7 linked regions of the Callithrix jacchus genome follow. The protein of the gene in region 3 interacts with the protein of the main gene of each other region in a pairwise test. Links are inferred from orthologs where the notes say so. Each region holds a gene or a part of one and is shown on either strand. Other genes may lie near its edges. The genes, in order: LGALS8, COX5B, TRIM23, NEK6, HOXB5, TBC1D22B and TRIM29.

Region 1 (3,500 bases), on a different chromosome or scaffold from region 3:
ACTTTTTTCCCTCCCCACTTCCAAACCTTTGAAATTGCCTGTCACAAAATCTGACCTGTAAAGATCCCATATACATGAAACTTCTGCCAACTCCCCTCAAATAATAGAAAAATTACAGAAATGCAACAATTTAACTTGATACAGGTTTGACTTTAATCACTTAACACAGAAGAGTGCTTTGATCTCAGGTGCTAATGGTGGACTCATCTTTAGAAGAATGGAGGCCCTGAGTGGTGATCTGCATGGGAGCAAAACTGATTTCTGTATTACCTCTGCCTGCTTTGTGGGTCTCCTAGTTGGTGTACACTTTCGATAGTGCCTGCCTTGTCTAATCCTGAAGTCTAATCCTGACCTTACTTTACTACCCATGAATATCTTTCAAATTCAATGCATCTTGCCTCTTCCTTAAACTTTCTGTAGGAGTCTGTGTAGACTCTGACTCACCCTAAGTTCAGACACACAGAAATCAGCTGCCTTGGGCTTGACATCAGTGGTTAATTTCAGCACCTTTTTTTTGTTTAGTTTTACTTTGGTTTTTTTTTTTTTTTTTTTTTTTTGCCTTAATTTCTGTGCCGTGTTCAGATGTCATGTTATTATTTGGTAAAGCTTGCAGCTAATAGAGCTCTATGTTTATTATGCTAAAGAAAATGAACTGTCAGTCAACATCAGTCCTCTCAGTTATGGGATATGCTGGAGCACTGGTTATGAGCGATCACTGGGGAAGGGGTAGCGTCTTCTATAAATTAGTGTCTTCAGGTGATTTAACAGCTGCATCTCTAATCCCAGAGGGCCCCTTGGGAGTTGATGCAATGCCTGTAGAAGCAGTGCACAGCGGTAAAGCACAGAAGAGTCGAAGCCCAAGACAACAGGGAACACACTGGTTTGTTTCACCACCAATTGTATATCCCATCTCCTTGCGCAGTTTTAACCAATAAATCTGTGCTCAATACATGTTAGCTACTGTATCATGGTAGGTACTCCATAAATACCTGGTGAATGTGATTCTTAGAGTCAAAGTAGGAGAGAGGGCAGAGTGGCTTTAACTGGCTGTAAATGCTACTGCCCCCAATCTCCCCATTCGGTGCAAGACACTGCCATACTTCATAGCAAGGACTGAGAACACCCAGCAGGACCTAACGGTACACAAGCTCATTTTAACAATATAAACAATAGAGTGACAGTGAGATGCGTTTCGACAAGGCCAGTATCACAGAAGCCATTCTGTACTTCGGTTTCTGTAGCATTCTGTGTTTCGCGTAGGTAGGCTACCAGCTCCTTACTTCCAGCAAGTGGATGTCTCCATTAATCTCCAGCGTGTCAATACTGCTAAGCTCTTTAAATCTGTGTTTGTACTCCAGGCTGTGTACACCATTTACTGCAACCTTGAATTCTTTAACATCACAATAAATTATCATCTGAAAGGAAAGGAAACAAGCCATTACTGGTTCCCCTTAGTTTAAAAATGTTTGCTGCACACTAATAGGGTGTCAGAGTAAACGATGTGATTTGCTTTATATATAGAAAAGTTCTAGCCTGCTGCTGCTGACTTCCCTTCTCTGACTCCCAAGACCCTAATCTCACTAAAGTATCCCTGGTGGTGGCACTGTCTGCCTCATCCCACCCAGGGAAGTTACTCGGACATGTTTGGAGCCTCACACGTCCCCAGGGCCTGTGGCCCTCCTTTCCTCAGGACAGGCCCCGCTTCTGGGCCAGGATATCCTGCCCCTCGCTCCTGGAAAGGTGGAGTGCTACCCCTCCTCACTGATGCTGGGGACTCTCCTAAAGTGGGAAAACTTACACTGTCACTCTAGTTCACTAAGATGCTGATTCCAGCTAGTAGACTGGAACCAAGGGACTTGGATCCTGACTTTTCTGCCTCAAACTCTAGGACCATGAACAAACCAGACAATTAATATGAAATTTCAGCAGCTTAAGGCACTTGCTGCTACGGTTTTTACAGCTGCTTGGTGACCCTGATTCCATCCCAGCTCAGCACATCTTGGCCTCAGTGTGTTTCTCCAAAGTCCTCAAAGCCGGGTACCCTGAGTCAGCAGGGATGCACATCCTGGCAGAGTCCGTTCAAATTCATCACTAGTCTTTGCCCTTGACAGTCGTCTGTGCCCCAAACTCAAACAATGAAAACCCAGAAAACCTACTAGCCTTTTACATCATCTTTATACCTAAACCTCATACTTCTGGTACACGCTGCCAGTGCCAGGCTGGGTTTCCACCCACACTGAGGACGACACTGGGAGGTCCTGCACGGAGCTCTCCCTGTGCTCCTCGCCCCCATGAAGGCTTCAGAAGAGGGGAAGCTCAACCTTGCTGCCAACCTGGCCCCACTCCAGAGGCCAGACTGGAGCATAAAACCTGAATCTGCAAAGCAGCAAGTTGAGGTCTTCATTCTTTTGATAGGAGCAGTGAAAAGGGCTGTCGAGGAAAAGAGGAAGAGGAGGAAATTTCAGCTGAGTCCTGCACTCTGATAACAGAGCTGGCCAAAATGAAACTTCTATGGCTACAGAGGACTGGGGAAGTATGTGTAACCCGAGATTCTATCCCCACAAGAATGGTGGGGATCCCAGTTCTAACCAGGTAGAAGGGACTTGGAAATATTTCACAAAATCTCAGGAAAACACAAAACACACAGCCTCATGCTGTAGCTCAGAAGGAAAACCAAGTTGGCAGCAGAGGGAGTCGAAGCCTGGACTATATCAGAGCAAGTGCAGAGCCAATGACTTACAACCAAGTGGCAAGGAAATGACATGCCTCTGGGTGAGCGGACTACTGCAAATGAAAAGAAAGCACATCATTTGCAAGACCCCCAGCCTAGAGGAAAACAGAAAACAATCCCTCACAACTATCTGATGCTGTCGAACAGCTGGGGAGAACATGGAGTTCATCCAGAAGAAGAGCCCACAGATGAAATGACAACAACGAATGAGATTTTTTAAAACAACACTGTAGATACAACTAAAGTATGTTTGAACAGCAAGAAGATTTAAATGAAAGTAATGGCATAATGGGAAGACCTGAGATAGTCTCAGTGCAAGCATGTTGGAAAAGCAAGAGATGGAAGCCCCTGGAAAGGACCTGTCAGTATAGAACATCGTCAACAGTGATCAACATGAGGATAATGACCGTTGGTGAAGTAGAAAATTAACAAACGGAAGAGACATTGTTCGGAAGCATACAATATCCATCGATTCATTCCTTCAGCCAGCCGTCCTTTTCACTGTGTCTCTACAAAAGAATATCTGGAATGTGCTTCATCGAATCCTAATGGAATGATTTGAATTACGAAGTTGGAGATATTTTCATCTTAGTTTTTTTCAGCATGACTTGAATGTATCATTATTGTCCTTTTTTATATTAATTGGTAGATCCAAACTTGGGTCCCAGATACGTCGAAAACAAGCTGCATCGTTAGTTTCCTGTCACCAACCACAGGGCTCAACTTCTTTCTGGAACACTCCCCTCTATTTCCCTCCAGTGAACCCCAA
Region 2 (3,997 bases), on a different chromosome or scaffold from region 3:
CACCTAAAAGGGAAAAAAGGTGGTTGAGTCATTCTGTCTAGAAAGGGAGACTTTCAACATGAATTTCTTTTCCTCAGACACCTCTGATACACAAGACAGACTATGGTCAAGATAGTGACCAATAATGGTCAGTTCAAGCCCTCCTCCCATTATTCAGATGAAGAAATTGAGGCTCTGAGTCCACCTATAAGTAAAATGACCTAATATCAGGGTCACTGTAAATTCTTTTGTTTTTTTTCATCTCGCCCCGTCACCCAGGCTAGAGTGCAGTGGTGCCATCTCTGCTCACTGCAACCTCCACCTCCCAGGTTCAAGCGATTCTCCTACCTCAGCCTCCCAAGTAGCTGGGATTACAGGTGTGCACCACCATGCCCAGCTAATTTTTTGTATTTTTGGTAGAGACAGGGTTTCACCATGTTATCCAGGACGGTCTGGATCTCCTGACCTCGTGATCTGCTCGCCTCACCCTCCCAAAGTGCTGGTACTACAGGTGTGAGCCACAGCACCCAGCCAAGGCTCACTGTAAATTCTAACAATTCCCCTGCCCATGTAGAACACAAAGGAGGTCCATTCTGGTATGTATCCCTACTGTCTAAAACGATGCCTGGCATAGAAGCAATATAACAATAAATATTTGCTGGGTGGATACTCCTTCATGCCACACCTCCACTGAGCCAGTCTTTCCACCGTGCTGCGCTTCTTTCCAGGAAGGATGAACTATCAGGCATAATGAGGCTTGAACAAGACCCATAGGGAAACTCATTTACAAACATGTATTCACACACTATAAGATTTAAAGCAGCTTGGCCAGGCCCGGTGGCTCACACCTGTAATCCCAGCACTTTGGGAGGCCGAGGCGGGTGGATCACGAGGTCAAGAAATCGAGACCATCCTGGTCAACATGGTGAAACCCCATCTCTACTAAAAATACAAAAAATTAGCTGGGCATGGTGGTGCGTGCCTGTAATCCCAGCTACTCAGAGGCTGAGGCAGGAGAATTGCCTGAACCCAGGAGGCGGAGGTTGTGGTGAGCCGAGATCGCGCCATTGCACTCCAGCCTGGGTAACAACAGCGAAACTCCGTCTCAAAAAAAAAAAAAAGATTTAAAGCAGCTTATAGACTCCTGTACTATAGGATATATATTAAGTGGATAAAGAAATAGAGGTGAGGTACTTACAGATACAGCCCACTATTCTCTTGTTGGTGACAGAAGGAACTAAATTAGGGTCTTCCTTAGTGCCTGAAGCTCCCTTTGGGGGCAGTATATTGTATGGGTCCTGAAAAAAACACAAGAATTGAACCATTATGCCAAATAAGCCCTACGTTCCAGAAGCTCAGCGTGTTCCTATAAGCCAAGTTCCCTGGATCAAATACTCCCAGAGAGGAGACTACTATGAACACATACAAGAACGTAAGTTCCACGGAAGACACAGAAAGGAGTTTCTCACCAGTCCCTTTCTTGCAGCCAACATGATCTCCCTCTCCAACCCAGTCGCCTGGTCATCATCACTAGGAACACCACCTACAGGAAGATATGTGAATTATGATGCTGACTGAAATGATAGAAAAATTAGGAACAGAAATGATCAAGAAGAAAAATGCCACACTGAAACTTCTGCATACGTTTTAGTGGGCTCACAAGCTCCTAAAAGCTACTCATATCCATGGTCCCCAAAGAACCACCAAATCATGATCCACACAAGGGGCAGCACTTGGGGGAGCTGCTGCTTTTTTTTTTTTTTCCTCGTTGCCCAGGCTGGAGTGTAATGGCAAGTTGTCGGCTCACTGGAACCTCTGCCTCCTGGGTTTAAGCGATTCTCCCGCCTCCTGTGTAGCCGGGATTACAGGAGCACGCCACCACGACCAGCTAATTTTTTTTTTTTTTTAAGGAGTTTCATTCTTGTTGCCCAGGCTGGGGTGCAGTGCTATGATCTCGGCTCACTGCAACCTCCGCCTCCCGGGTTCAAGCAATTATCCTGCCTCAGCCTCTCCAGTACCTGGGATTACAGGTGCCCTCCACCACGCCTGGCTAATTTTCGTAATTTTGATAGAAACGGGGTTTCCTATCGTCCTGGCCTGGCTGGCCTCGATCTCCCAACCGCAGATGATGATCCGCCCGCCTCGGCCTCCCAACGTGCCGGGATTACAGGCGTGAGCCACCACGCCCAGCCCAATTTTTGTATTTTTAATAGAGACGGGGTTTCACCGTGTTGGCCAGGCTTGTCTCGAACTCCTGATCTCAGGTGATCCGCCCACCTCGGCCTCCCAAGGTGCTGGGATTACAGTCGTGAGCGCCCGGCGTAGGAGCTTTTCCTTCTCCAACCACCGAGACCAATTTGTCGACATTTGTCTAAAAGCAAGTTAGAGCCCACTCGGCTTGAGGCGGGCGCAGGTTTGAAGGGCGGCCGGACCCCTCCCCAACCCGGTCGCAGTCCCCACCCCTCCCAAGGTCACCCGGCACCTCCGTTTAGGATACTTTCGCAGAGGAGTCAGTTCGGGGGGGCGGCAGGAGCAGCGGCCTGGAATTATAGGAAGATGCCTGCAGAGCCTGAGACACTCCGGACCGTATGCGGTCACTGGGACCTCTAGTAGCTGCACGTCACGCCCCGCTCTGCCGCCCTGGGACCACTACGGGAGGGCAATACTCCGGTCCCTGGCAAGCCTGGGGAGCCGAGTACCTCCAGAGGCCATGGAGCGCACCGCGGCCGCACCATTGGGACCGCGAGCCCTCAAGGCCTGCGCGGCCAGCGCTCCGGCTCCGCGAAGTAACCTTGAAGCCATCGCGTCCGCGACAAGCAACAGCACTTCCGGGAACAGGATGCAAAGACAGGAGAGACTTCCGGGGGCGGGCTTCTTTCTCCTCCCGGTCAGCTTTCCGCTCCTTCCCCGCCCTCGGGCCCGCCCACTCCCGCCACCTTGGCGGGGGCGGAAACTGCGCATGCTCAAGTGTGCCTTTCCCTGCACCGCACAGTAGCTGAGGCTTGGGGGCGGGTTTGCTCTTTAGTAAGGCTGAGAGGTGAGCAAGTTGTTTTGGTGTTTGGAGCTCAGCGGCTAAACCACATTGGAGTTCCTCTGTATCTGGCCTGCACTTGGAGGCTACTGATGGAAGTCATTAAGTCCCCGCCTGTCAAGAGACTGACTGGACCCCAAATGATTTGAATTTGAAAGTGGGCTCCTAAAGATCTCTGCGTTCCTTGCTAGGCTAGTTAGTGGCAACGCTGGTTCTCTGGCAGTGCGTGAGCCGTCGCGAGCGTGTTGCATTGGACGGGACCTACCTGCAGTACTGGCCCAGTTTCCTGTTAGAGTTGTACTGTGGGGGGTTAGGCGCCGGGGTCCCTGCGGGGTCCCGGCCTAGGGAGGAGGACAGGACGGCGGCAGGACCCCGCCCAGGACCAAGAGCCTGCTGATGTGAAGAGAGAAAGTGGCCACTCTTCGAGGCCACTAGGGGAGGAGAAGTTAAAAAGGGGAGTTGATAATGGGAAATGGAGTCAGATCCTGCTGTGACTGGAATTCCGTTTGAAACGGAAAACATCTTCCGTCCATAGCTTTCCGTTGCCCCCACAGGCTAAGATGTGCAAATTTCTTAGGGTGAGCTTTAGTCTGTGTAGCCCTATGACAGGCTAGCTGCATGCGGTATCTGAGTTTCCCTACCAGATAGAAAAATCGCTTTAGAGTGGAATTAGCTCATTACTGAATTTTCAATGCCTTGCAGAGGTCTGGTATATAGTAGGATCCAGTAATTTTAGTAAATTTACTACTTGGATAGACTATATAAAACCAGTTTATAGGGCTTCTCCTGGCCCAGTGAGGTCAATTGGAAGCAAACTGGGTAGAGTTGAAGGCTCAGATGCTCCCACTTGTCTCATGCAGGCTATGATATTTTCAAAAGGACACGGTGGAGCATTGCCTCCCAGGAGCACGTCTGGTCTTCATGGGTGCCCCCTCCACCAATTAAAAAAAAAACAAACACCTGTATTCTGATACAAAAACCACCTTT
Region 3 (3,500 bases):
AGAGTAAACTCACAGAACTTATATTTGTAAAAATAATTGTTCAAATGTTAGTAAATACTATTATTTCCAAATCTGGTACCTGAAAATAACTTACTTTGAAATATATTAAGAAAGTTTTAAAAGTATATAGAAAACCACAAAAAAAAAATCCACAAACCCTTCAAACTTATTTTAACAGAAAATAAAGAGTAACGATCACAAGCTACAAACACTTCCGTCTTTGATATTAGTAAATAAAAACATTCTGAGACTCTAATGACTTACCTGTATTTTCATTATTGGCTTATTTATTTTTAAAGAAAATATTGTTTTATTGGGTTAATGGTTTCAGGCAAATGATTCACCCTGTGATGCATATTCTTATTTCATTGAATCAGGATAGCAGGTTTTTCTTAGGTGACTTAAAGCTCTTTACATGTAAGTATTGAATATAAACATCTCAGAAGATAAAATTACTAAGAGTGAGATAGTTTATAGCTTGAAGATTATTAATCTTAACAGAAACTCAGGCTTTCTAAAACTTCCTGGGAATTTTATCATTTTAAAAACCAAGTGAAAGGAAATTGTTTTCTATGACATTTGCATTACATGAACAATTTTCAATCTTAAATCCACACAAATAATTTTCCTACCTAGGTCTGTTACTTGTCGATCAAATGGGCAACGGATTGCTCTTCCATGAAGAGGTAGGCGAGTGAGACAGTCATGACAGACTGTATGGCCACAAAGCAAAAGTCGAGGAACTTTGTCTCCTTGCAAAGAAAAGACGTCTTCACAAACTCCACACTCTAGCACCTAATATTTGAAAAGAAAGGATGCGCTCTTCAAACAATTTTAAAAGCATACATTTTTAAGTATGTAAGAAAACTGACCTAATATATTGAATCAACATTGTTACTTTATTCCTCCATGAAAAAAACTATGTAGGTTGTAAAATCTTAAATCATTTTTAAGTCATTCAATCTGACAGACCCTGCCAAAATTATAATGAAATATCTTTGAAATACTGTTAGAGGCAAAGATGCTGTAAGTTAACATTTTCATTATCTTTTGAAAATTATGATTGACTCATTACATCTGAATCTGTACAAATATATAATTCTACTGAAAGCGGGTTCTTAAGCAATTTCTCTGCAACTACCTAACCTATGAATAATCTCAACAAAATAAACTATCATTAATTTCAACAAAATAATCTAAAAAATGTACAGAGATAATAATTACTCTTGTAAATGATAAAGAACTTATTAAGACTACAAGTAACTTTCAAGTATCTTCTAGTATCTAATTACATCAAACAATATAAAGGCAAAGAAGCAGTCACCTTAAACTTAAATTTCAATTCCTGTTCTCTATCAATAAATATAGCTCTGAATTAGAAACTAGTTTATCTAGTTCTAGTTATAGGCAAATGACTTGCACAAGGCTACACAGTCAGTCAAAAGAAAGGCTATTTATCAGCATATTCTGATTCTCAAGTCCATAAGTTTATGTTTTATAGTCAACACTGTATTTATACCAATAAAGCATTTTCAGCACTTATTTCTAAGTATATTTGTAGTGTTTCCATTTTTGTTAATTTTTTTAAAATGCCTACACTGTACTATTCAATCATACCTCAAACTCTTGTGTCTGCCATTCAAGACCTGCTACAAACTGGTTCTTGTCCTACTGCTTCACTGCCACACTCTTCTGACCCTGTGCTCCAACTATATCCAACAGCTTGTAGTTCTCAGAACATGAAAAACCGTTTCATGTCTCTTCATGCTAACGCTGAGGAAAGGACTACACTTGTCCCTTGGGCCCAACTCTGTGTAAGTGTCTACCATAACATCCTAAGCACTTTAATACCTTTACCAGTTTTTCAGCCTGTTTTTCCCTGTTAGACCAAAGAACCCTCAGAAATAGGATATTTCAAATACCAAGTACCTACTGCTTACATAAAGTCCAGCAAAATAATTTAAAAGCAATTAAGCCCAAGGAAGAAATCAGACTAAATCTACTACGATTTTAAACCTAACTCTGCAATTAACTTGGACTTAGTGCATGAGATGCAAATATCTTTCACCATAAATAAAGTGATAATTCAGAATTGCCTTTCATCTTATTATGCTTCAAAAGAAATTTAAATTTAGTCCTTCAATGTAAATAAGGCTTTGGGAAAAGAAAAATAAATAAAAATAAGAAACATTAACATTGTTCACAGAAAAGAAGATGAAAATTCTTTACATGAAAAGATGTTCAATCTAACTAATAAGAAAAATGCAAATTAAGGCTGGGTACATTGGCTCACACCTGTAATCCCAACACTTTGGGAGGCCAAGGATCAGGAGTTTGAGACCTGCCTGGCCAAGTTCAAGATCAGCCTGGCCAACAAGGTGAAACCCCGTCTCTACTAAAAATACAAAAAAATTAGCTGGGCATGGTGGTGAGGTGCCTGTAATCCCAGTTTACTCAGAAGACTGAGGCAGGCTAATCATTTGAACCTGGGAGGCAGAGGTTGCAGTGAGCCAAGATGGTGCCACTGCACTCCAGCCTGGGTGACAGTGTGACTCAGTCTCAAAGAAAATAAAGAAAAGAAATGCGAACTAAAGTTACATCAAAATACTTTTTTTCAGATTAGATAAAAAATGTTGGTAACACTTGGTTGTGAAGGTGTGGGAAAGGAGACACTCATACATTACTGATTACTGTGAAATGTTCATTGAGCAATATTGCTTCTATGGAGGGCAACTTGTCAATACTTACCAAAAATTTAAATAATTCCGTAATTCCAGTTGCAGGAATTTATCCTACAAGCATATTAGACATGTGTGACAAAATCTGTCTGTTATTCCTTAAAACACCATTTGCATTAGCAAAAAATTGAAAACAAAGTTAATATACATCAATTATCAGCTTGGAAAATGAATTATGGTACTTAATAATACTAAAAAACTACATAGGCTAGTAAGAAAAAGTTTTTCATGTATACACAAAATGATTTCCTATGACTAAAACAAAAAGAAAAATGATAAATAGAATATATTCATTTTTGCATAAAAACAGGGAGAGAGCAAATTTCTTTTATATTGTTGTATAAGCATACTATCTTCCTGGAAGGATATATAGGATACCAGTAACACTGGAACATTGGTTCCCCATGAGAAAGTGACACAGCTGGAGAACAGCTACTCGTGTATAATTCTATCATTATATAGAGAGAGACATACTTCAGTTTATCCTCCATTTTTTTAAAAGGGAAAAGTTTCACATTATCAAATTCATTTAGACCTGGCACTGTAGCTCACACCTGTAATCACAGCACTTGGGACACCAAGACAGGAGGACTGCTTGAGGCCAGGAGTTCAAGACTAGCCTGGGCAACACAGTGAGACAATGTCTCTATAAAAAAATCAAAAACTGAGGTGGGAGGATCACTTGAACCCAGGCGATCAAGGTTGCTATGAGCCATGATCCTGTCACTGCACTCCCACCTGGGTGACAAAGTGAGAACCTGC
Region 4 (3,500 bases), on a different chromosome or scaffold from region 3:
ACTGAACTTGGTACTAACCATTTTCAAAGGCTCACTATACAAATCACACGGTCTCCTGCAAGTAAGTCTCCTGTTAGCATCGACCTTGACAGGTCACTGGAGGAATTACCGGAAAGATTCACAGTACAATCCAGATACAGGGCTGCCGTGGCTCACTGAGCCACTGCCCTTGTTAACCCAGCTGGGATTGTCCGCAACAGAATAAAGAAAGGACTTTGGAATTTGACCATCAGTGATGTGTGGCCAGTGCGCCTCCCTCAGCTGCTCTGCCTTCAGCATCTGCTGTAAGGCTGCGCAGCCTTTTGGGGAACCTGCTGAACCCTGTGGGCTTAGCTGTTCTAGGCTACCAGGTGGCCACTTGAAGAGAAGACGACTCAGGTAAGGCAAAGTGGTAAGGCACGGTGCATCCACGCTCAGGTGCTGGACATCCAGACGTGCATCTGCTTGGCCACCTGGTGCACGTACCCGATGTCAGGCCTCTGGTCGGGGTCAGGGTAGATGCACATGCTGACTAGTTCTCGTAACTGCAGGGGAGAGAACGGTGGGTTATTCTCAAGAAAGCAGCCTTACTGAGGCTCCATGCTCCGCAATCTATCTGCATGAAGGTACTTGAGCCTCAGAGCAACTAGACAGTCCCGTTGTCCCCGCAGAGCTGAAGAACAGTGTTTAGTGGGGGCAGGCAAGGGGCGTGCGGCCGCGTGGCTCCCAAGGGCTAGCCAGGACCCCTCCTGGGCCTAGTGCACTTTGAGACCCTAAGACCACTGGGCAAATTGTGGGTGTGTCTTTCTCTCTGCTGGGAAAGTGTGTGTGTGTGTGTGTGTGTGTGTGTGTGTGTACTGTCAGTCACGCAGATGCCCAAACCAGAGGACAAAACTCAAGGAAAGGGCTTATTGATCATAATAAATGCATTAACATGCAGCAGGGCTGCAGCCTGCCCAATCTCGGCCCCTTTATTGTGCTCATGAAAGATGGAGCTTTTAATTATACAGACACTGAAGGCTGCTCCTGCCCCGAGGTGGGGGAGGGGCACAAGTGCCTCTGATCGGCTCAGTTCTTATGATAGCCAGAGTGCCAATTATTTTAATGGTAATTAAAATAATGACCTTAAAATGCCTACATCTTCTTAACTTGCATCACGGGCTCACCATCATTGGTTTTCATTTAAATACCTGCTGCTGGAGGGGTGGCCAGTCCCACAAGCCATGGCGGCAGCAGGAAGCCAGGAGGTCCTGAACCAGAGGAGGCTCTGGTGGTCTCAGAGGTCACACTCAGGGGAGGGGCCAAGGGACATTCTGGAGGCCCAGGGGCTAGTGCCGGCCAGGGTCCTTAGGCTGAGGGGTGGGGCCTGGGCTTCCTGTAGACAGGCTCCTGAGGTGATGGGGCATTTTCTCTGGGCTGCAGAGCCTTAGGTCAGCCGCTCCAACCTGTATGCATGCCTTATAGCGGAGAAGCCCAGGTGACAGCGGGGCCTGCAGCCTGCTGGGCTGCCCCTGGAGTCTGAGGTGGCCTATGGACCAGACGGCTGTTTTCTGAACCTTACACTATTCGGGGGAAGGTACCTGTGGTTGGCCTCTGACAGATTAAAATCCCAGAAAAACCAGATTCAGGTGAAGAGTCTGTGACCTGCACTAACTGATGAAGTAGACACACAGCTGGCAGTAAGTCCATGTTTGAAGTTTTCAGAATTCAAGAGAAATGATAACATATGTTATTTTCATTTCTAAGCAGCAATGTAACTAAAACTAGGGTGTGTCCAGGGGCTCCTGAGTACCACCTCTCAACCCCAAGCATGGGGCCCAGAAATGCTGCACAGGCCTGGTGAGAACTGGTGCTGTGGGGAGCGGGGGCTCGTGGCCAGGAAATGGCTGACTTGGAACGGGGGGTTTCAGTGTTCATTTCAGCCTCATTACTGAAGCAGAGAGGACAGTTCCTGTTTATAGATTGACAACCAAAGCACAGGGCTGTCATCTGCTTCAGTTGCACGGCTTCAAGCTTCTGAATTGTACACAAGTCCAAATTCAGAAGATGAGAAAGGAAAAAGCAAATGGCAACTCTTCACTTTGTAAAGAGATGCAACTTGTTTTTCCTCCCACTGGGGAGCATCAATACTTCTTCCAAAGGTACAGGTTGAAACTGTGAAGCTAGGAGAGGAAGGGCCGTGTGCAGTGCCCCAGAGCACTCGTGCTCTAGCCCTGGAGTCCACGACGCCATTGAGCGCAGGTTCCCCGCGAGGAGCCTCCTGCCTGGACATGGGCAGAGCATGTGGGACCTGTCCTGTGTAGCTTGGCCAGGGCAAGGGTGTTCCTTCCAGAGCCTCACCCCAGCTAGTTAATGGGGCACCAAAGGGACATGCCACCAAGTAGCAGGAGGGCTCTGGCTGGGCGTCTGGGTTCCGATCCTGCCTCACTGTCTTTAAATCGCCTGTGTCTGTTTCCTTATTGGTCAACGGGTCAGGGGAAGATTCAACTCAGGAAGTCTGAACATGAGCTATTATCATGAGGTGATGGCCTGTGGTCCTATGGGGTGGGCCCAGGGAGGCCCCAGACCCACCCACTAGCACTGACCTTGAACAGAAATAAGGGTCACATGACATTTAGTGAGCACTGACTGAGCCAGGCCCTGTCCACTGGCCACTTTTGATGGTGGTGGCAGTGTTAGCTTGGTGCCTTACCCTAATCCTTACGCTGATCCTGTGTGGAAGGTTTATTATTATCCCCATTGTATAGATGAAGAAACAGACTCAGGAAGGTTAGGTGACTCACCTAGGAACAGTGCAGGCAGTATGTGAAGGCATGTCTATACTTTTGACCCTACTGTGCCAAGAAACCTATCTTCCTCACGATTATTCACCAAAAATGTTTAGTTCTATCTTCAAGGTGTTGGAGCCGAGGAAGAAAATATTTGCACATTCCTAGTAACTGGCACAGCCCACACCAAACCCATCAGAGTCTGTGTCCATGGCCCCTGCAGCCAGTGTAAAATGTTGACAGTAGAAGCCCAGGGTGTGGCTTAAGTCTGTTACTATAAGGAGGAAACTGACCAGTCTCCCTGCCGTGGTTTCCTGCCATGGGAGCAGTGGCAACCATCGGCAGTATGGGGACGCCAGGCCTGCTAGCTACATCCTGCCCCCGCATCTGTTCCATGTCTGGCACTGCACAGAGTCCATCCTGGGGACCTGCAGCAGCGGGCCTCCTGGTGCACCAAGCTGGGAGCCAAACAGGTGGAGGTTTGCCAAGGGCCACATCCCACTGGCTCCCGCCTGGGGGTCCTACACCGGAGCCGCGTGGTGAAACCCCTTCTTCAGTGTAATCACCTACTTTCACCTCTCCAAATCACTTTTCCAGAAAGTGCCCTTTCTGTACCATGTAAAGTAAGCCTGACCTCAGCTGCGATGCTTTGGAGTGGCCCTCATGAGCCTTGGCTGCCAGAGCTGACGAAGCCTCCGGCTCCTGCAAACTCACCTTCTCGGAGTAGTGCTCCCCGGGGAGGGGCGGGTAGTC
Region 5 (4,274 bases), on a different chromosome or scaffold from region 3:
GAAGACCAGGATGGACTCTAGCTCAGCCTTTCCCCTGCCCCAGCCCCACATGGGGTTTCTGGGCCTTGAAGTCCCCCCAAGCATGAAGGTCTGTTCCCTGGCCCAAGCACTGTTGACCAAGCCAGGGACTTACAGGACTGAGAAGAGCTGTTAGGGAGAGCCTACTTTTTCCACCCTGCATCCGAGATCTACTAAGAATGGTCCAGGATGTGCCCGGGATGGGAGAGGTAAACCCCTCGGAGAAAAGACAAGTGGAAGGGCAATGGAGTGGGGGAAACATTTATTTGACTTCAAGGAAAGCTACAAACATATACCAAAAGCGAATCACCGAGACAGGCCCCGCAAAGACAGATTTCACACGTAGCACAGCATCCGCTCGCTCACTACAAATGGTCTTGGAAGAGAAATGGGTAAGGAACAGATGGGTCTGACCCAGACTATCCCCATATTTACAAGCTTTGGGCCCTCTAGCCAGACCTATGGATTCACAGAGAAATACACAAGACATATTACACTGAAGATCGTTTTTGTTTCCGTATACTCCCAGACCAGGCCTTGTGGGGCCTACCCAGGCAGCAGGAACTTAAATCTCACTATCTTCTTTCTCTCTTCTCAGTATCACCCCTTTGGTCCTCCCCAGCCTCTTCCCACCCTAGAACCAAGCCCCTAGGAGACTTGGGCCTGGGGAGTGGGGAAGGAGGGAAAGGAGAATGAAAAGAGACTCCATCTCAGAGGCCAGCTCAGCTTGGCCCCACTGCGGTACTACCCCAACTCAACTGCTGCCCCTTAGAGAAGTTTCCAGCTGAAACTCAAAATACAGTGATCATCTTTTTATAAATAAGTTAGAACACAGATGGGGAGGGGAGAGTTCACATTAAACATGCGAATTTCTTTTTTTTTTTCCCTGGGGGAAGGACTGCAACCACAGACACAAACATTCAGAAACACTGGTGGATTTGGGGCAAGCGGAAGGGAGTTGGGAGCATGGAGGGAAAATAATAATTATAATTATTATTAACAATAATAACAAGATAACCAGTCCAGGAGAGAGGGAGCCACAGGAAGACCTAAGACCAAAGGAAATATCGAAATATCTTAACACAAGGCTGGGGCGAGGCAGGCTTGTGGGAACCGGTCCCCAGCGGGCTGCGGCAGTGCGGGGAGGATTGAAGGGGCCAGGGCTGGGGGTGGCACGGGCTCTTGGGCCGCTGGGCTCCTCTGGGCGGGCTCAGGGCTGGAAGGCGCTGCCGGCTGTAGCCAGGCTCATACTTTTCAGTTTGTTGTCCTTCTTCCACTTCATGCGCCGGTTCTGGAACCAGATCTTGATCTGGCGCTCCGACAAGCAGAGTGCATGGGCGATCTCGATGCGCCGTCGCCGGGTCAGGTAGCGGTTGAAGTGGAACTCCTTTTCCAGCTCCAGGGTCTGGTAGCGGGTATACGCGGTCCGGGCCCTTTTCCCGTCCGGCCCAGTCATATCTAGAGCAGATAGAGGAAAGCCGCAAGGCAATGTTATTCCGGTTAAGGGAGGGGGCACTGGGTGGGAGGGGGCGGGGGAGCAGGACCCAGGCGTCCCGGCACCCAGCTCACCGCAGCTCCAATCCTCTCTACTCCAGATGCCCACATTCAAGCTCGATTTCTGCACCCCCTTCTCCCGCATCCCCCACTTCTGCCGGCAGCCAATGCGCCCGGCTTTGTCTCTTGCTGACTCCTAGTGCCTCACCCTTGGCTGGGCTCAGGCGGCCGCTCGCCCCGGAGGGAGGAGAGCGGTTGCACTTTTGCCCCAGAAAGCTCACCCTTTCTTTGCTAGCGGTAGTCTCAAAATTTCAGGGGTAAGCAGGACTCTTCCCCACATTATATGAACCCCATCCTTTATCCTAATGCTGGTATAGCTGAGCTAATAAAAACCTAAGCCGAAGCTGGCAACAAATTATTAAAAATACCCCCCACCACAGAGAGACCCTGTTTGGCTCTGTCTACAAAGCTATGAGGCCCCTCTCAGAGACTTCTCCCCCTTGGAAAAATAAATCTATATTTGGGGGAAAGCCAGGTTCTCCTTGTCCCCACATCCCACCCCAAAACGCAGAGAAGGAAAGCTGAGAAGACAAAAAAGAGAGAGAATTACCGTGGCTGATGTGAAGCTTCCTCATCCAGGGGAATATCTGCGGAGTCTGCCCCTCGGGCGCGGCTGTGGAGGTGGCCATGGGCTCTGGCTGCGCCCGAGCTAAGCTGGGGCTGCTTAGCTGGCTCGCCGCTTCCTCAGGCTCCGAGGACGCGCTGGCCTCGTCTATTTCGGTGAAATTGGCGCTGGAGCTGGCCGAGGTCGCCTGGTCGGAGGGGGACGAAGCAGAGGGCTTGGCTCCGTGGCTGTCGCCGTTAGTGCAGGGCAGGGACTCGGGCGAGGACAGGGAGCAGCTCGAAGCCGCTTGCCTGAAGCGGGGCTCCTGGGCGGACGCCGGGAAGGCGCGCGAGCTCTCGCCCACCGCCCCAAAGTGGCTGGAGGAGGCCGAGGAGCGGTTGACGCTGAGGTCCATCCCATTGTAATTGTAGCCGTAAGACCCGGTGTGCATGGCAGCGGGATCCCTGTAAGAGCCGCTCAGAGAGCTGCCACTGCCATAATTTAGCAACTGATAGTCCGGGCCATTTGGATAACGCCCCGAGAAGGAGTTTACAAAGTACGAGCTCATTTGGGTGATTTTGGAGGGCTTGATTTGTGGATCGTGGTCGTTATAACCCTGTGCTTCACGATTTATGATGTATTAATGAATTATAGCGATGCACTGTACTTCGTTTTGCTATGTATGCGGCCAAATATGGGGGGGGGTTGGAAGGGGGGTGGGGGGGCGTTAGGGAATCACGTGCTTTTGTTGACCAGTCGTAAATTCTCGCTGATGACCTCAAGAGGTAATTCATGCTCTATGGTTACAAATAATGACGATCCGAGAATCGTTAGGGCCGATTCAATGCGAGCCTCCGAGAGAGGGGGAAAAAAGGAGAAGGGGGAGAAACGGGGAGCAGATTGGCGTTGGCCTCTGAGCAGAGCGCGCCACCTCCCGGCGATCGACGGGAGCTCGGGAGGGAGACCGCCATGGCGGCGGCGGCTGCCTCCCTGTTGGCTCCCTGCAGCCGCGGGGAGAGAAAGAAACCCGGCCAAGGCTCAGCCACAGGGTTGAGCGTTTTAGAGCAGGCGTTAAGCTTTTTACCCACTTTCTTGTGGGTGGGGTTAGCCTCTCTACTTGGGTCCTTTTCCCTACATCATCGTCGTTATTATTTTAACTTTGGATGAGAAGATCAAAGATTAAGTTGCTTTTCCCTTTCTTGGGCTTTGCAAGTCTCTGAATTGGGGGCGGAAATGGGGGAAGGGTTGGAAGTTGTGTGTGAAAAACAATTATTGCAACAGTTTCTCCCCCGGAGCTCAGCCCGACCTGCATCCTGGAGGGACTGCTATTGCTGTCCACAGCTCCCAGACCGAGCGTGGGGCTGGACGGGTGGCTTGAAAAAGCAGCAGGGGAAGCGTTCACTTCTCCTGGGCCACTTGGAAGTTTGAAATCCCCTTCCTGACCTCCTTGGTGGTCCTTAGCCCAGGCCTGGGGAGTGGCAGAGCAGGACAGGGACCCCAGAAACCCAGCACAGCTGAGGCTAAGCGGCCTAGTTGCCGAAAAGACTGCAGCGGCCACCGTGTCGGTGGCTTGGGTTTGAGTAGTAACATGTGTCTGAGAGTTTGTAAAGCAGGACCCTTTCCCTCCTCCTCGGCTATTGCATTCGGAGGCCCCACTCCAGGCCCCTCATTCGCAGCTGGGCAGTTTGAGAATTTGCCTGGTGGCAGCCGCCTTCCCGAAAAAGGGGTTCCAAGGACCCGCACGGTTTGTTGAGCACGCTGGGCGGCCAGAGACCGCCGCAGCTGGGCCCCTATTACGAGGCGACGATTTTCTTTAAAAAGGGAGCGAGAGGGCGGAGGAATAAAGGAAAACAGTGTCCACAGCTTGCCCTCTGGGTGCCCGTGGGAGCGGAGAGAGAATGGGCCATTCTGGATTGAAAGGATGACACTAAATGCCCCATCACCTGGCTTCCTGCCCTGGGGTCTCCAAGGAGCAAGGGAAAGCCGTGCCCCTCAGCCTGTGCCTGGCTGGTGGCTTTACATTCCCCTACTCATGGCTGATCTCCTACTTGAGGTGGGAAGGGGCACCTGGAGCCTTCAGCTGCAGGGCGAGAGATACCCAGTGGCCCCATTTTTCAGTCTCCAGAGCCACAGGCAGGGAGCAGAGGGCCAAGGCTGG
Region 6 (3,500 bases), on a different chromosome or scaffold from region 3:
TGCGGTTTGCTTTAGGGCATTTGTGGAGCGTTAACCTAACAAGGCAGTTTTCTGTTTACAGATGAACTGAGGAAGTGTAGCTGGCCAGGGGTTCCCAGGGAGGTTCGACCTGTAACCTGGAGACTCCTATCGGTGAGTTCTGCCCGCTGTGTAGGGAAATGTGAGCCTCATACGGCCCTTCTTGCCTGACGAAGTTAGTCTGGACACATTGGTCTTACTCCATAGACTGCTCTGGTCCTTGGATATGACAGCACTATGGGACTATAGTCCTATTTCTGTGCATAAAGAAACACATTCTTGAGAGTTTATTCACACACATGTAGAGGCACACAGACTTGAACCAATAGTCATGGTCCCACGTTCTTAACAGTGAGGAACAAAAATAGAGTGAGATAGGGTGATCACAGCACTTGCTTTGAGCAAGCTCCAACATTTCCTGTGCTTCGCTCCTGTTTCAGTCAGATTAACCAAAGTGTTGAAACCCACTTTGAACTGTGAAGAGCTGATAAATGGGCCTCTCTTGGAAGCCTTACTAGTCCTGTTTTCACCAAGTACAGAGAGAGCACTGTGCCAGCCGCTATGATAGGAACACTTGGGTTTCCTGAGCCTGTAAAATTCATTCATTCATCTAGGGAAGATTTACTGAGGGCCTGCTGTTTGCCAGGCATAATGCCAGGTGCTTTGAGCAGATACAAAACCACGGTCCCTGCTCTCCAGGCACTCACTGCAGAATGCATTACAAGTTTTCAAGAAGAAGGGTCTGTCTCCTGACTGCTCGCCCCACCCCTACTCTTGCAACCATGTAATCATTGCCTCCGCCACTTCTAATAAGTTTGAATGCTATTCAGAGTAGATTTGGTGAGAACGGAAGGGAAACAGAAAACATAAGAATGAGAGTGGGATCTAGACCAGGGATAAGAATGAAAGTTGGCCTGGAATTTTGGCTAGGCGGGGGGGATGCTGCCAGAAGTTCTGTCTGGGCGTTGTAGCTGTTATGTCACAGATTCCATTCAGCTGCTTCCTAAGCTGGTAATTCTGAAAGTTACACTGGAAAAGAATGTAACTGGCACCAGCTTAACTTGGCACACTGCTGAGATGTGCTGTAGAGGTTGCTATATCCCTGCAGTTCTCAGAAGTACAGCCCTGCACACACGCAGCCCTCTGAGGCCATGACTTGAGGCCAGCTCCCTCCCACTGACCTACATTCACTCCTGTATTGTGCCAGCTCTGGGAGCTGAGGAGTGCTCATCAGTGGCACAAGCTCCAGCACAGTGCAGGGCCAAGGGAGTCAGTAATCCCGGGAAAGCTGGCCTTGCTTCATCTGCTCACATGTGGATCTCATTGAATGAAGAGAGGGCAAACACTGGGTGGCCAGAACCAAAAAGGGATTTACCCTTGGCAGTTTTCCTTCTTGATAGTTTCCAAACCATACCACTGCATAGACTAAAATAAGGATTTATCCAACCATTGTCTCTCCCCATCTGACCAGCAGTCTTGTCTATAGGGCTATCTCCCCGCAAACACTGAGAGGAGGAAGTTGACCCTGCAGCGGAAGCGGGAGGAATATTTTGGCTTCATTGAACAGTATTATGACTCTCGAAATGAGGAACATCACCAGGATACCTACAGACAGGTACAGTCATCCCCAGCTGCCTTTTCGCTTACCAGTCTTACTCTTTAGGTATGTCTCGTGGTAGCGCTCTCAGGGCACAGGATTTCCAAGTCTTCAGGCTGTGGTATACTGGTTAGGAGTTAAATTTATCCTCAAAACCTTTTCTCCTCTTTTCATTCAGCAGCTCTGATTTTAGCCATTTTAAATAGACTTTTTTGGCACTAGTCAGTGGCAGTGCTTCTCAAACTTTAATGAACATACAAATCACCCAGGATCTTAATAAGATCTCATCTAGAGATTATGAGAAAATGCAGATTCTGAGTCAGTGGGTCTTGGGTAAAGCCTGCAGTTCTAACATGCTCCCTGGTGATGCTGCTGCTGCTGGTCCACCAACCACACTGTGAGTAGTAAGATTTATTGAGCATGGAGAGAAAAGAAAAGCTCACTTAGTAGCGGTCCAGTTCCTCTGGACTATGACATCAGTATTCTTTCGGCAGCTTCAGTACTGGTTCGGCACCTATGACTGTCTGTAGGAGCTGTAGCTGTCAGTAGTCTTGTCAGGGAGTCTTCCGTCATTGCCCATAGCAGTCCTCATGGTCTGTGGAAAGGTTTGCTCCCAGCATCACATGTGGAGGGAGGAGAAGAGTAGGCCAGGCGTTGCAGAAAGTGGAAGGTGGGCAGCTATCTACAACAAGCCTCAAGAGCTGAAGTAGCCTCTGCTGCTGCTGCTGCTGCCGCCGCCGCCGCCGCCACAGTCTTTTGCATAGTTAGACTGAGCATTGGGAAATCTCCGAGTTGAAATGGACCAGATCAATGTCTTAGGTGACAGAAGTAAGAACTTCCAGCTTCGGTTACTAAAGGGCAACTCCTTTTGGTCCATCCCCACTTCTTTTTTTTTTTTTTAATTTGAGATGGAGTCTCGCTCAGTTGCCCAGGCTAGAGTGCAGTGGTACGATCTTGGCTCACTGCAGTCTCCACCTCCTGGGTTCAAGTGATTCTCCTGCCTCAGCTTCCCGAGTAGCCAGGATTACAGGCATGTGCCACCATGCTCAGCTAATTCTTATATTTTTAGTGGAGACAGGGTTTCACCATGTTAGCCAGGCTGGTCTCAAACTCCTGACGTCAAGTGATCCGCCCACCTCAGCCTTCCAAAGTGCTGGGATTACAAGCATGAGCCACTACCCCTGGCCCTTCCCCACTTCTTATATGTCATGACTTCATAAAGAAGTCCTTCTCTGGTTCCCTGTTTTAGGACATTTTTGCAGCTTTCTGAGCTCTTTTAGTTCTTAGAAACTGTTGATAAGTAAGATTCTAAAAGAAAGGTATCTACTTGGATCGCACCTGCTGCATACATGCCCAGCCCAGATTGAAACAGACTTCAGAGCAGTAAGAAAAACCCCTTAGGCTGTGAAGCCTATTGCCATTTGACTTAAGTGGTTTCTACTGAGAGGTCTCACTGTTCAATATGCTACTGCTATCATGGAAATATGTTCCACATGGGCAGGTAGGTATAACTAGATTTTTTTCTGTGTTAGTCACGCCTTTCTGAAGATAAATTGAGCTCTTTTACAACTTTGATTCCCGTTTCTTTAAAAATAAAATTAACAACTGGCTGGGCGTGGCGGCTCATGCCTGTAATCCCAGCACTTTGGGAGGCTGAGGCGGGCAGATCACCTGAGGTCAGGAGTTCAAGACCAACCTGGACAACATGATGAAACCCCATCTCTACTAAAATACAAAAAATAGTCGGGCATGATGGTGGGTGCCTGTAATCCCAGCTACTCGGTAGGCTGAGACAGGAGAATCGCCTGAACCCGGGAGACCGTGGTTGCAGTGAGCCGAGATCGCGCCACTGCATTCCAGCCTGGGCGGCTGAGTGAGACTCCAT
Region 7 (3,500 bases), on a different chromosome or scaffold from region 3:
GCTAAAGGGACTGGATCCTGAGTCTGGGAGCTTTGAGGTTAGCGGGATTGACAGTGGCTGTGATTCCTTCCCGGGAGGGGTGAGTTTCCAGCAACCTGTGCTCAGTAGAGGGGACATGACTGTGATGGGCAGAGGGCATCAGGGACCACCGGCACAAAGGCTTACAGGCGGGACGGGCGGGGCTGGAACTGGGGGTGTGGTGTCTTCTGAAGGTCAGGTGGGGAGGGACAGAGGTAACAGAGGACTGGAATACACAGGGGAGCTCACTGATTTCAGTTGTACAGTGGGGGTGTCAGTCACCACTGCTTCCTCACGAGGCTGTTGTGAGAGCCCAGGTGTGTGGGAAGGAAAACACTTGTGAAGTGAGGCTCTGATCTCCCGGGAAGCAGTGCCTGTGTAGGCCCCTGGGAGGTGTTCTTGGTGCATCAGGCCAACTCCAGGAGGCTCCATCCTCATGGGGCTGAGAGCCTGCCACCTCTGCCCCAGCGGTGGCCATGGGCTCTCCAGGTGTATGCTGATGCTCTCTGCATGGCTAACAGAGCCCTTCTACTCTCAAAAGCATGCTGATTTGGGTGATAAATTAGTTGATTACCTTATGTCAGACCCAAAGGACCTCTCTCAGTGGTGGAATCCAGGTCTTGTGGTGGGCACTTGAGCAACTTTTGGGGGCAAGGAGTGCTGCATGACACCCTTTTCTACAATGACAGCTCCCTTCATCTGCTTCGCAGGTGGGGCCCGGACATCTTACCAGCCCTCGTCTCCCGGCCGCTTCACCAAGGAGACCACCCAGAAGAATTTCAACAATCTCTATGGCACCAAAGGTAGGTGGTGGCTCAGCTTGAGGCTGCACAGGGTTCACATGGGGCTGTGCAGGCAGGAGGGGCATAGAAGTGGGGCCATGGGGCATGGGGCTGGGTCCACAATGTGAGCTGGGATGGGTGGGGGGCCCAGACATGGGTAGGGAGAGGTCCTACCTATGGAGTTTGAATTGTGTGTGGATACATTCGTGGGATACACCATTACTTAGGCTGGTGTCCCTGAAGTGCCTGTGCTCTTTTGATCCCTGAGGAAGAATCTGGGGAAAACTGAGGCTGAGTAGCCACCTTGGGCATAAGTGTGGGGACCCCCCACCCCGCTCACAGCAAGTATCAGGGCACGAGGACCCACAGAAAATCTCTACTGATTTGTGTACTTCTGCAGTGAAAAGTTGTACAGTGGCTAAAACAAGTTAGTTTGGCTGTGACTAGAAAAGAAGGCATGGCAGGAAATGGGGCTGGCCCTGGAGCTCCAGGCAGGGAGGTGATCAAGCAGCACCTCAAGACCCAGGAGAGGTGAAATGGGGGTGGGGACGTGCCTGTCCCAGGGGAAACTGCTCAGTTCAGGGTCTCCCTCTGCCCAGTGCTCTGAGGGGACCATTTGCCCAAGAGCAGGGCCATGCACTCAATGAGACGTGGTTCTGAGAGGCCCTGGTTCTGTCCTGGGGGCTCCTGGTTACATGCCAGCCATGCATGGGGAGGGAGAGGACCAGGTCAGCCCCAGGCCCGGACATAGCACTGGAGGATTCTTCAGTGAGGACAAGACCTGTGGAGACAGGAGGGTCAGGGGCACCTGGAGGACAGAGCAATGCCTGGGCCTCTATGACCAGGACTGGATTCACAGCCAGGACCAGGGGTACCTCCTCTTCCACATATGCAGTAGACCGTGAGCACCTTGAGGACAAAGCTTATTTGTCCTAATCAATGCTACAGCCCCAGGACTCAAAAGTAGGAAGAGGTCAGGCCAGGAAGCAGCTGTTGAGAGAGATGAAAGGCACCAGTGAACAGAAGGACAAGGTGTCTGGCCTCGCGGAGCCCTGGGTGGGCATGCTCATGGAGGCCTTGCTACAGAGGCTGCCTGTGATCCCTGTGGGGGGGCTTTGCACTGGGGCCAGTGGCCAGCCCCAGCCATCTCTGAGCCCTGAGGCCAAAAGTCAACCCCAGCCCTCCCCACAGACAGCTGACGGGTGAGCTTGACTAAGGAGGCCACTGATGCTTCAGGCCTGGTGGGTGGGGGTGTGGTGCTGGAGAAGGGTGCGTCACCCACAGGGGCTCTGAGCCCCCACTCCGATGCCCTCTGAGTGCCCTGGCTGCTCCTCCCACCCCCTCCTCACTGCCTTCTTTGGACTACGGGACATGCCTGCACATAGGCATGTGTTAGTCTACTCAACTTGGCAATTATCAGCTGCCTCTGTCCCCAAATTTTAGGTGTTTGTATTTATTTGTTCATTGGTTCATGCATTCTATCCATCAACCATACAATGAGCACCTTCTGGGAACCAGGCTCTGTGCCAGGCTCCGGGTGTGATGCAGGGGCCAGACAGGCACATTCCCGGTTTGTGTGAGCTCTCTGCGGGAGGCAAACAATTGAACAAGCAATGGCAACCCAGAGGGTAGCGGGCGCAGCACGATGTGGGGAGGGGGCTGAGGCACATGGAGACACTGGGAAGGTGCCATGTAAACTGACACTTGAAGACCCCACACATGAATCACCGAGGGTGGGGAACAGCAGGAGGGTCCTAGGCAGAGGACAGGGTATGGGCACACAGCCTGGGGCAGGAGAGAAACTGGAGTGTCTCAGACAATAATGCTCAGCCTGGTTGGAATGCTCTGTGGTGGAGGGAGAGCAGACATGAAGCCAAGAAGTGGGAGATGGTGGGTGGGTGGCAGGGGTTGTGGGGAGCAGCTCATGACAGAGTTGTGGGCTGCGCTTGGGACTTTGCATCTTATTCTGAGGACAGTGGCCTTTAGGTAGGGCAGGGAACTGTCTATGTTTTATATTTTAGAAAGGTAACTTTGGGGCAGAAGGACAGGGGTGAGGCATCACTGGGATCACAGAGTGGCATCTTGGCTTAAGTCGTGGCCAGCAGCTGGAGAGTCACTGACCTGGCTGTGTCCTGGTCGTGCCTCCTCTCCCATGCCCAGTTGTGGGGGCCTGACAGCCCTTTGCCTTGCCAGGTAACTACACTTCCCGGGTCTGGGAGTACTCCTCCAGCATTCAGAGCTCTGACAATGACCTGCCTGTCGTCCAAGGCAGCTCCTCCTTCTCTCTGAAAGGTAAGCTTGCCCAACCTGGCCCCCTGCTTTCCCTCGCAGCTGACCGCACCTCCCAAGCTCTGCTTTGGTCTCTTCCCTGAGCCACTAGTTCCTCCCTCACCTTCTGGAGGAGAGAGCTCTGGCCCAAGAGCCTGGGGAGCTGCCACCATGGTCTTTGCTGGAACCGAAGGCAGGGTGGGGGCTGGGCCACATCAGTGCTTCCCAGGGCTTGTTTTACTGCACACTAGTCTCTAACGACAGGCTGCAACAGCGGCTCTCAGTGGTCAGGACAGGGGGACACACCACACCCCCTGCACCCCGACCTCTCTGATCCTAAGTGTGCTGCTTCTGCTGCAGAGTTTATTGAATTCCCAGCGTTGGTTGGCTATAGGGTCCTGTGGGCCTGGAGCACCCGCCAGCATCCCGCAG

The links.
Region 1: the proteins of TRIM23 (region 3) and LGALS8 interact in binary tests that used the Homo sapiens proteins (3 or more experiments, as listed by UniProt). The link is inferred for Callithrix jacchus from reciprocal best matches to the Homo sapiens genes TRIM23 and LGALS8.
Region 2: the proteins of TRIM23 (region 3) and COX5B interact in binary tests that used the Homo sapiens proteins (3 or more experiments, as listed by UniProt). The two-hybrid records come from large-scale screens. The link is inferred for Callithrix jacchus from reciprocal best matches to the Homo sapiens genes TRIM23 and COX5B.
Region 4: the proteins of TRIM23 (region 3) and NEK6 interact in binary tests that used the Homo sapiens proteins (3 or more experiments, as listed by UniProt). The link is inferred for Callithrix jacchus from reciprocal best matches to the Homo sapiens genes TRIM23 and NEK6.
Region 5: the proteins of TRIM23 (region 3) and HOXB5 interact in binary tests that used the Homo sapiens proteins (3 or more experiments, as listed by UniProt). The two-hybrid records come from large-scale screens. The link is inferred for Callithrix jacchus from reciprocal best matches to the Homo sapiens genes TRIM23 and HOXB5.
Region 6: the proteins of TRIM23 (region 3) and TBC1D22B interact in binary tests that used the Homo sapiens proteins (3 or more experiments, as listed by UniProt). The link is inferred for Callithrix jacchus from reciprocal best matches to the Homo sapiens genes TRIM23 and TBC1D22B.
Region 7: the proteins of TRIM23 (region 3) and TRIM29 interact in binary tests that used the Homo sapiens proteins (3 or more experiments, as listed by UniProt). The link is inferred for Callithrix jacchus from reciprocal best matches to the Homo sapiens genes TRIM23 and TRIM29.

The regions. Positions count from the first base shown.
Region 1 is NC_133520.1:48,839,528-48,843,027, forward strand, and holds part of LGALS8 (galectin-8), read right to left. Parts: intron 1,416-3,500; coding exon 1,266-1,415; 3' UTR 1-1,265.
Region 2 is NC_133515.1:6,951,296-6,955,292, reverse strand, and holds the start of COX5B (cytochrome c oxidase subunit 5B, mitochondrial), read right to left. Parts: upstream 2,801-3,997; 5' UTR 2,782-2,800; coding exon 2,679-2,781; intron 1,523-2,678; coding exon 1,449-1,522; intron 1,278-1,448; coding exon 1,178-1,277; intron 4-1,177; coding exon 1-3. UniProt on the Homo sapiens protein: Component of the cytochrome c oxidase, the last enzyme in the mitochondrial electron transport chain which drives oxidative phosphorylation.
Region 3 is NC_133503.1:143,875,339-143,878,838, reverse strand, and holds part of TRIM23 (E3 ubiquitin-protein ligase TRIM23), read right to left. Parts: intron 796-3,500; coding exon 633-795; intron 1-632.
Region 4 is NC_133502.1:172,970,049-172,973,548, reverse strand, and holds part of NEK6 (serine/threonine-protein kinase Nek6), read right to left. Parts: coding exon 3,462-3,500; intron 525-3,461; coding exon 414-524; 3' UTR 1-413. UniProt on the Homo sapiens protein: Protein kinase which plays an important role in mitotic cell cycle progression. Required for chromosome segregation at metaphase-anaphase transition, robust mitotic spindle formation and cytokinesis.
Region 5 is NC_133506.1:117,682,744-117,687,017, reverse strand, and holds HOXB5 (homeobox protein Hox-B5), read right to left. Parts: upstream 2,801-4,274; 5' UTR 2,685-2,800; coding exon 2,123-2,684; intron 1,477-2,122; coding exon 1,229-1,476; 3' UTR 264-1,228; downstream 1-263. UniProt on the Homo sapiens protein: Sequence-specific transcription factor which is part of a developmental regulatory system that provides cells with specific positional identities on the anterior-posterior axis.
Region 6 is NC_133505.1:45,628,680-45,632,179, forward strand, and holds part of TBC1D22B (TBC1 domain family member 22B), read left to right. Parts: intron 1-61; coding exon 62-132; intron 133-1,504; coding exon 1,505-1,633; intron 1,634-3,500. UniProt on the Homo sapiens protein: May act as a GTPase-activating protein for Rab family protein(s).
Region 7 is NC_133511.1:19,766,595-19,770,094, reverse strand, and holds part of TRIM29 (tripartite motif-containing protein 29), read left to right. Parts: intron 1-728; coding exon 729-821; intron 822-2,993; coding exon 2,994-3,092; intron 3,093-3,500.